Nothobranchius furzeri: one gene and its partner. The protein of the gene in region 2 interacts with the protein of the main gene of each other region in a pairwise test. Links are inferred from orthologs where the notes say so. Each region holds a gene or a part of one and is shown on either strand. Other genes may lie near its edges.

Region 1 (4,734 bases), on a different chromosome or scaffold from region 2:
TCTGCATGATGGAATGTACCGTTGTCTCCAATGGACCCCACTTTAGCTGTGATGTTGGCGATGATGCCGCTGTGATGCTTGGCTTTCACTGCAGGTTGCTGTCCAAAAGCACCGCTGCCTTTCTGGAGGAGGGGAGCAAAATATTTGGCCATCACCAGGGGACCCACAGTGTTGGTTGTCAGAGTGGAAATTACACCCTGAAAACGAAAATAAGTCACGAAGTTAGTGGTATAATGAAATCTGCAATGTGTAGATAGCATGGTTTAAAGTATGTTTTAATATGTTTGAGTTTGTAATTGATGGTTTAAAAACCTGTGGAAAAATACTCTGTTGATTCTCTGAGCCTCACCGGGGACATTGATCACATATTTGACATTTTCAAAGTGACATCATGAACTTAATCTAATCTTTACAGACATTTTAAGTTTTACCTGTGCAGAAACATCCCTCAGGCTGGTCTCTCCTCTCTTGGAAGGGTGAAGCATCGCTGAGGAGTTGATGAGGAGATCCAGACGACCAAAGTTCTGCTTAACCTGCTCTGCTGCTTCAAGGATCTCCTGCTCGTGGTTCACGTCCAGCTTTAAAACCGTGAGTCTGCCCGGGTGTTGGCCTGAAAGGCCCCGGAGCTCGGAGGACCCGTCAGGGTTTCGGCATGTCGCGATGACAACAGCAAGGCTTTTATTTTTTAAAATGTGTTTGCAGAATTCAAGCCCTAACCCTCTGCTGGCACCCTGGATGAGAGCAACGGGGACCGCCATAGCAGAGAAGTAGTTATAAAAGAGGAGTGCTTGCTGCCTTCAATTACACTGAAGCTTCGAAAAGTTGAGTTTTACGAGTTAAAACCATAAGTAGATCGGTGAAAGATCTTTTTAATAACAAATTTAGCGGATATATGATAGAAATTGAACATAATTTAGTAACAACCACGCAAAATGTGTTACGCTTTGTTAGAAAATCTTAATTCTTACTGTTGGAAAAAATGATTCCAACGTCACCTGAATGTAGCACATTTCACAACAAGTAAAGCGCGCCCCCATGAGGTCATTGTTGAATGCGTCAGCACAACTTTAGCACATAACGTGACAGTCTGATTTTGCTTTTGATTGAAATGAAATAAAAGTAAATAAAAAACTATATAAAAGAAAACAATGAGGACAAAAAAGCGGTGAAAAATACGGTATGAACAAAAAATAGTCAAAAAATAGTATAGTCATCAATAAATTAAATAAATATCAATCAAGTTTCTTTGTATAACACTTTCCACAACCCTGGAAGTGCTTAACCAAAGAATGAAAGGTAAAAAACAAAAACAAAACAAAAAAAAAAAATAAAATAAATTTAAGTTCATATTAAAAAATATAAATAGTGAGACCTTAAAATCAATAACTAAAATAAAACATAAGGAAGTTATATTATTTATTTAATGCATTTATACGGTGAAAATAAATTATGATTTCCTGATTAGTCGTTTGAAAGTTTCTAAAAACAACAAACACAGGCTTTAAAACTATTATGAGGACAAAGAAAATAAATAAATAAATTTTAGTGGAATGTGGCAAAACCCTCAACATTTCTGTCCTTGAATAAATAATATGAAATTAAGTTATTTACATATAAGTCAAAAATTCGTTTGTCTAGTTTGTAAATACGAAATACCATTCCAAGCCCATAGAGGGCGGTAAAACTAATAACTTTAAAACGGACGGATACTCTTTGTTAAAAATATATCGTGATTACGGTTAGGGTTACTCAATAAATACATATCTACAAATATGCACACTACAAATAGCAAATAGTTGTCTGGTAATTAAACTAGAAATATAAAAAATGACCAAATAGATTGACGATTTTCAAAGAAGAAGTTGGTTGCTTAGCGACCATTAGCACAGCGTCATTTCGTGAGCTAGGCTAATCGCGTAGCTAACGCATGGAGCTCGTCACCATAAATGTTGTATAAATGCCACCTAAAAGAGGACCGTTGCAACTCGTCCAGAGAGAAATTGAAGAAGTCGGAAGACAGGTTTGTTTAGCAGCAATGCATACATTTGTGCCGCTTTTTAATACGAAAAAAACAAAACAAAACTCAATGAAGTATCAGACTGCGACCGTTGCACAAACTGTGACAATAAAGAACCACTTACGAGTCGTCCAAGGGCTTGGACCTGGACTTTTTCCCGTCTATTTAAAAAAATATAAACCTTTTACTGGTGCTTTTTGATCTAGTTTAGATAAATAACGCACTGTGTACATTCACTCGCTGAAATAGTTGAAATAAAACTATCATTTGGCTCGTAAATTTAAAGTTGATGTTTCTAAAATACAATTGGTGGTCTATTTAAAGAGCTTTGAGGCCGAAGGCAAAGCTTATTATAGTAAAAATATAGATTACATTTATTTTTCTTCCGTTATTCAACATAAATCAGTATTTACACAGTGACATTTACGTTGTCTAATGTGTTATATTATCACCTCTCATCCTCCTTCTCCCTCTGAAACAGGTTGACAGATTGATGAAAGATGTGCAGAGTCCAGAAGGATCGAACGACAAGAGACTTTGCAGGTAGGCATTTATGATGACAGAGGAATGGCGGTGTTTTCTAAACTCATTTGTGTTTTTGCAGAATCAATGAAGGCTACGGCCATCTTAGCCTTTAGTAGGTTTTAAATATCATTTTAAGTTTAATACTATTCTTAATACTTGTCAAAAGATGTCTCGAGCTACAAATGTCTGCAGAGAAGACTTTAAGGACACTGCTGAGTTTAAGAAAGGTCAGTTTTCCAATCTCAAAACGGTCAAATAAAAGATCTTAGAGATGGGCAACAATTAAATGCTTCTGATGGATGATTGTAACTAAGCTGAGCTTACAATCTGCTGCTTTGATTTCCAGGCAGATGAGCTAGCTCCAGTGGGGAGCTATGATCAGAGGAAACAGGAAGAGGAGAAACGACTAAAAAACATCTTGGAGCGTCTGAACAAACTCTTTATGGAGATATCACCTCCAGGCCCCAGCAGTGAAATTGAGTCTGTACTTCTTAAAGAAAACAAACAGTATTGAATGCTACTGACATTATTTGCGCATTTTTAGGTTTAAATCCTGTGTTTTTAATTGTATTTTTTATCAGTAACACAACCTTCATTATGTTTCTTTTAAAAGAGTGAGATTTGTTGCGTCTGAAATGAATTTTGGTCGATTGCATTCAGTCCATTTTCTAGTTGCTCTGTTTCGCCCACAGCCATCTTTCTAAAAACAACAGTGAAGGTGATGTTGGTGAAGATGATGACAAGGATAGTAGCGAAGAAGAAGATGACAACAACGACGATGATGATAATGATGACAGCGACGACACAGAAGTTGAAGATAATGACAGAACTGTGAAACCACAGCCGAAACCTTCTGTGTATACAGTCCTCTGTGATTTCAAAGGAGAGCAGGAAGGAGATCTTCCTGTTCAGGTGAAGTACTTCCTGTGTCACTAACACTTAGATCTTAGTCATACATTCAGCCACATTCAAGGGGCTCTGGAGGTGCTAAATAACAAAAATAAATGTTTAAGCTTGGGTTTTTTCCCCCTTCTTGTTACTTATTCAGTTAAAACAGAAGATGGCGCTACTGTAGTCCAGTGATCACCATTGTACAACAGGAATGGGCACAACCGTCTTAAGAGACATACTATGGCTTTTCTCAAGTTACAGCAGTTTTATGGTTGATTCTAAACATTGTTAATGATGTCATTTGCATTAAATCCCTCTCACATAAAACTATATCAGCAGTTTTATTCTTGACAATTTCACTACCTTACATAATGAGCCGTTTCATGGCTCTGTCACTTTAAAAGGGTACCAGGTAGTTTTGCTTGCTTTTATCACCCCCTAGTGTTCGTTATTAATTCACTGGTTATACTGAAAATGAAACTTTTCTCCTCGCTATGAGTTTGTCTTTTTAACACCTTAATCTAACTGCTGAAACATCTCCTTTGCTTTCATTAGTGTCTGCAAGAGTGATTAATCATTAAATCAAACAAATCAGCTGTGTTCATGATCTAAACATGCAGGAAACATGCTGGAAGCAGACTCCAGCTCCACACTACTCCACAGCTGCCTTCGCTAGCAGGGAGCGGCCTGCTAACTCTGAAGCTGCAAGTGTGGTTTTCTGACCACGGGGGTGGTTTGGTCTGAGTAACATTTCATCAAACTTGTAAAGGGTAATTTTGGCACATACTGACACAAGAAAATAATTTATAAATATGATAACAGTTGCATAGAATCCCTTTAAGAAAACAAGTCGTCGTTAGCCATGCCCACCCCTCCCCTGATTGGCTGCTATGAACTGAGAAGCTCTGATATGCAGGAAGTAGTTGGAGTAGAGCTGGTGTTCCTCCAGCAGCAGCTTTCTCTTGCACGTGAGAGGTGTTTCTATGATAATTTCCCTATTTGTGACATCACAAACAATGACTTTTTTAAACGGCTCATTTTATGCCCTGGCAGAAAACAGGTGGAAAGATTTTTTTTATGTTTGGAGTGTTAATAGTAGTTGTAGAGACCCACACGGCAGCACAAAAGGGTGCAGAATGTGAATTTTACATAATATGTCCAACTAAAGAGGGAAGAAACACAAAAAAAAAGAAGTCTGAGAGACTTATTATTAAAATAATATGCCTCCTTAGGTGCCTTCTAATGTGTAAGGGTCATGAAACCTGTTTCCTACTCTTTTATCTCTATTGAGTCCTGGTTCG
Region 2 (4,704 bases):
GAGAGGCAGATGAGGAAGAGTCCATGTGATTGGTGATGGCCTAGAAGGAAGGGGAGGAGGATTCTCCATTATGTCGTTCATGGGACATCAGGACAGAGGTCATCCCAGTCTGAGCAGATGGTCTGTGGGCAGCATCATCAGGGAGAAGAGCACAGGTAAGTTTTTCTCGCTGTATAGCATGTATCATACTAACTGTAAGTGATGTAACCGCCATCAATGTGTTTGGTCCCTTTTCTACAGTTGAAAGACGACCAAATGATGTTGGAAGGACTTGTCTTTTCTCCCAACAAGAGGCATCGTTGTTGACACCATCGTTCAAAATAATGAAATCCAGCAGAGAGATTAAAGATGGAGCCAACTTTGATGGAAGAAGAAAGTTTGTATCGAGCTTTTCTAGATAAAAACTACAAGGCACTTCACAAGAAAATAAAATAAATGAAAAAAAATTAAATATATATTGTTATATAATAAAAATGGGAGAAATGGGAAACAGTTCAGAAAAATGTGAATAAAAAAGAAAATGTCATCACAGGAACATGAAAAAGAACTGACAAACACCAGCATGAAGAGAAACTAGTGAAGATTCAGCAGAAGGTGACATTAAAACCAGCCTGGACAGGTGAGTTTTCAGCTGCTTTTTAAAGGAGACCACTGAGTCCACTGATCTCAGGGGGAGAGAGGTCCAGAGTCTGGGGGCCGCAGCAGCAAATGATCTGTCACCTTTGGTCTTTAGCCTGGTGCTGCACAACCAGTAGGCTTTGATCACTGGACCTCAGGGACCTGCTGGGGGTGTAGGGACTAAGAAGATCACCAATGTAAGATGGTGCTTGTCCATGTAAGGCCCTATAGACCAGAACCAGGATCTTGAAATGAACCCTGAAGTTGACTGGCAGCCAGTGAAGCTGGAGGAGAAGCAGGGAGATGGGGGTGTGTTTGGAGGACTTGGTCAGAAGCCGAGCACAGGCATTCTGAACCACCTGTAGACGGTTCAGGGAGGTTCTGCTCAGACACGTGAAAAGAGAGTTACAGTAGTCTAAGCGTGAGGAGATGAAGGTGTGGAGAAGTCTCAAGTTCAGAATGGGACTCAGCTTAGCAATGTTCCTGAGATGGAAGAAGAAGAGCGAAAAAGAGAACTGGCATGAGAATCCAGGGTGAGAACTGGGTCAAAGGTCATGCCAAGATTCCTGACAGAGAGTTTGGTGTGAGAAGCAAGCTGACCAAGAGAGTCTCTGACTTTGGGAACCAGCTTGTTTGGGGCACAGATGAGGATCTCAGTCTTATCTTCATTCAGCTGTAGAAAGCTCCCAGCCATCCAGGTTTTGATAGAGTCTAAGCAGGTGTGTAACAGCTGCAGCTTAGACATCTCATGGGGCTTAAAGGAGATGTACAGTTGGATGTCATCTGCGTAAAGATGGTAGGAGACTCCTTTGAAGGAGCTCAGGATGTGCTGAAAAAGAAGCAGACAGAGGATAATTGGAAGGAGGAAATCATAAAAGCAGCAGGAATGAAGGAATGCAAGAGACTGTTTACTGGTTTTGCTGGGAGCACTGGTGTTTATAAAGTCCAACATCTGCTGGGAGGATGGACCTAGGATGCAGCAGTTTGGCACTGAAGGAGCTTCCAGCTCCACACCAGCTTCATGCATGGGATGGAGGACACTGTCCAACAGTGATGTTATTTTCACTAGAGTCCTCTCTCCCACCCCCAGCTGGGTCAAGGGGACATGCTAGGACAGAACTTCTTAATCAGCTTCCCGTCTCTCAGTAGCCCCAAACCACACAAAGATGGTGGATGGGAGGGGGGCTCGGGCCCTTTAAGCGGACAGGATCCAGCCTGTGGTGGGCGGACGGTAGCAGCCAGCTGTGCTCCACCCGCTCCGCTCGGCCTCCAGCCGCAGCTGCTTCATGCTCCAGCTGTTATAGCCGCGCGTCCGTGGGGGGTGAGTCCGAGGCAGAGTGACTTGAGGGAGGACCGAGAACCGTCAAGTCTGCGGGTCATACGGACGATCGCATTACCGCTGCTGCAGATCTGCGCCTCTGAGGCGCATTTTTACGCAGCAGTCCAGCTGGACTGAGACAAATCCCGACCTCTTCCTCCCGCTGGGAGCTTTCCTTTCCTACCAGGAGTCTTTTCCATGGAATCCACGAACGGCTGACGCCAGCGCAGCTGTGCATAAAACCCGCTAGAGACGCAACTGGCAGGAAAAGGCGCAATAGGACAGCTGCAGCAAAATGTCTATCCCTGTAAGTATGTCAGACGCATGTTGGTGTTCCCAGTCGTTGCTCCGGTGTTCCATGTTAATGGTTGTAACAGCCTGGGCCCGGGCCGCCCGGTTCCATAGCACTACAGTAATTAAGATGTTATCATGTGAGCCCACACATATTACTGTAACACGGTGTGTGATATGTGCTGGTGGTGACATGTTACTCTTTGTCTTTGGCCTACATGAAGCTCCAGCGGGTTTAAAGGAGCAGCCCGCCCCTTCCGGGAGGCTGTTTGCATGAAGGCCAATGTCAGCCAGGGTCTGGTGGCTTCATTCCAGCAGACCTGGCCAGTCAGCTCAGCAGAGCAGCTGATAGCACTGTGTGTGTGTGTGCAGGTGTGCGTGCGTGTGTGTGTGTTTGTGTGTGTGTGCAGGTGTGCGTGTGTGTGGAATAAGGCATTTGCTCGAGCTTGTTGAGTTATTTTCCATCAAATTCCAAAGGATCTGTTTCACAAACACTGCCTAAGGATCTCTCTCTCCCTCTCTCTCTCTCTCTCTCTCTCTCTCTCCTCTCTAACTGAACTGATGCTTCATTTTGTTGGGGACGACAAAATCCTACTGGCACTTTAATATAAAGTTATTAGACGATCTTACCTTTTGCAACATTTTTAAGCTGTTCTGGGAGGCTTTGCGGTCCAAAAGAATGATTTTAAGACCATCAGTGAATGGTGGGAACAAGGGAAGGCACAAATTAGAGTTTTCTGTCAACATTACACGCGGGGGTCTACAAACCAAATAAGAAAGACTATGGCAGATCTAGAGAAGGACATCAGGGTGCTAGACTACTACTCAACAACAGCACACCTTAGACCAAAAAAAGACAGCAGCTTGGGCATTTCCTGCAAGAGAGGGCCAAAGGCGCCTTGATCTGGGCTCGTCTCACCACAATACAGGACATGGATGCTCTGACATCCTTCTTTTTTAACCTGGAAAAGACTTCAAACCAGAAAAAACAAATGGCTGGCCTGCGTCTGTCAGATGGACAGTTATCCACAGACCCAGTGGAGATGAGGAAGCATGCAGTAGAATTCTATACCAGCCTATTTAAGGCCGCCCCATGTGATGTGAACTGTGCCAGAGAGCTGTTGCAGGGGCTTCCTTCCTTGACCACAGTAGACCAGGGAATCTTAAATGCAGACATAACCATGGAGGAACTTACAACGGCAGTCTCCCAGATGGCTGCAGGTAAATCTGCGGGGATGAACAGCTTACCCGCTGACTTCTACAAATTCTTCTGGAGCAGTATTGGACAGGACCTGATGGATGTTTTTAGAGACTCACTTCAGACAGGAGCACTTCCTGCATCGTGTAGTTGGGGCGTTCTGTCCCTGCTGCCGAAAAAAGGGGACTTAACCCAACTAAAAACCTGGGGACCAGTTTCCTTGTTGTGTTCAGACTATAAGATTTTTTCTAAGTTCCTATCTAATAGACTTCGGGGATTCATCAGAGGTCTAATCCCAGACGATCAGTCCTTCTGTATACCAGGAAAGTCATTAATGGACAATTTATTTTTAATGAGAGATGTGTTTGATGTTTGTAAAATGTATGATGTAAACGCAGGTATCATTTCTATTGATCAGGAAAAGGCGTTTGATAGGGTTGATCATGAGATCCTGTTCTCTACGCTACAGGCCTTTGGTGTTGGGGGGTCCTTCCTGGAAGGGATTAAGATGCTGTCATGTCATGTCAGCTGTATGGTGAAGGTAGCGGGGGGCCTGAGCCAACCCACCAGTTCTAAGAGGAATCAGACAGGTTGTCCCATCTCAGGACAACTGTATATTTTAGCCATTGAACAGCTGCTGTGTCGGCTGAGGAACAGGCTGAAAGGTGTACACCTACCTTTACCTGACTCCAGTCCTCCCTTAGTTGTGTCTGCTTATGCAGATGATGTGAATGTTTTCATCCATGATCAGCAGGATGTACAAGAACTCAGATCTAGTTTACGTTTACATGAGAAAGCATCCTCAGCTAAGGTTAACTGGGACAAGAGTGAGGCATGTGTAGTGGGGGGTGGGACCTTGGTGATGTCCCGCCTCTGCCAGAAGGGTTGAGGTGGGGAACGGGAGGTATTAAAACACTAGGCATGTACTTGGGTAGGGAAAGGTTTCAGAAACAGAACTGGGAGAAGGTGCTGGAGAAGGTGGAGGCGCGGTTGTCTAAATGGAAATGGCTGCTCCCTCAGCTGTCCTACAGGGGCAGGGTTCTGATAGCAAACAACCTCGTCGCCTCGTTTCTGTGGCAGAGACTGATTGTACTGGTTCCACCACCCCGTCTGCTGGAAGGTGTTCAGAAGCTGTTGGTGAAATTCTTCTGGTCTGGTCACCACTGGATCAGAGCTTCGGCTCTTTGCCTACCCGTGTCAGAGGGAGGACAAGGACTAATAGACGTGGTGTCTAGAACTGCAGCCTTCAGGTTACAGACAGCTCAGAAGCTTTGTTATG

Evidence for each region. The genes of interacting proteins can lie anywhere in the genome.
Region 1: the proteins of bcar1 (region 2) and nphp1 interact in a two-hybrid assay, tested with the Homo sapiens proteins (2 studies listed by BioGRID). The link is inferred for Nothobranchius furzeri from reciprocal best matches to the Homo sapiens genes BCAR1 and NPHP1.

The regions. Positions count from the first base shown.
Region 1 is NC_091752.1:27,149,514-27,154,247, forward strand, and holds the start of nphp1 (nephrocystin-1), read left to right. Parts: upstream 1-1,712; 5' UTR 1,713-1,957; coding exon 1,958-2,020; intron 2,021-2,498; coding exon 2,499-2,560; intron 2,561-2,708; coding exon 2,709-2,769; intron 2,770-2,888; coding exon 2,889-3,049; intron 3,050-3,234; coding exon 3,235-3,454; intron 3,455-4,734. Other genes in the region: zgc:65997 (C-signal), read right to left, coding at 20-197, 432-758. UniProt on the Homo sapiens protein: Together with BCAR1 it may play a role in the control of epithelial cell polarity. Involved in the organization of apical junctions in kidney cells together with NPHP4 and RPGRIP1L/NPHP8. Does not seem to be strictly required for ciliogenesis.
Region 2 is NC_091754.1:40,233,963-40,238,666, forward strand, and holds the start of bcar1 (breast cancer anti-estrogen resistance protein 1), read left to right. Parts: upstream 1-1,629; 5' UTR 1,630-2,231; coding exon 2,232-2,243; intron 2,244-4,704. UniProt on the Homo sapiens protein: Docking protein which plays a central coordinating role for tyrosine kinase-based signaling related to cell adhesion. Implicated in induction of cell migration and cell branching. Involved in the BCAR3-mediated inhibition of TGFB signaling.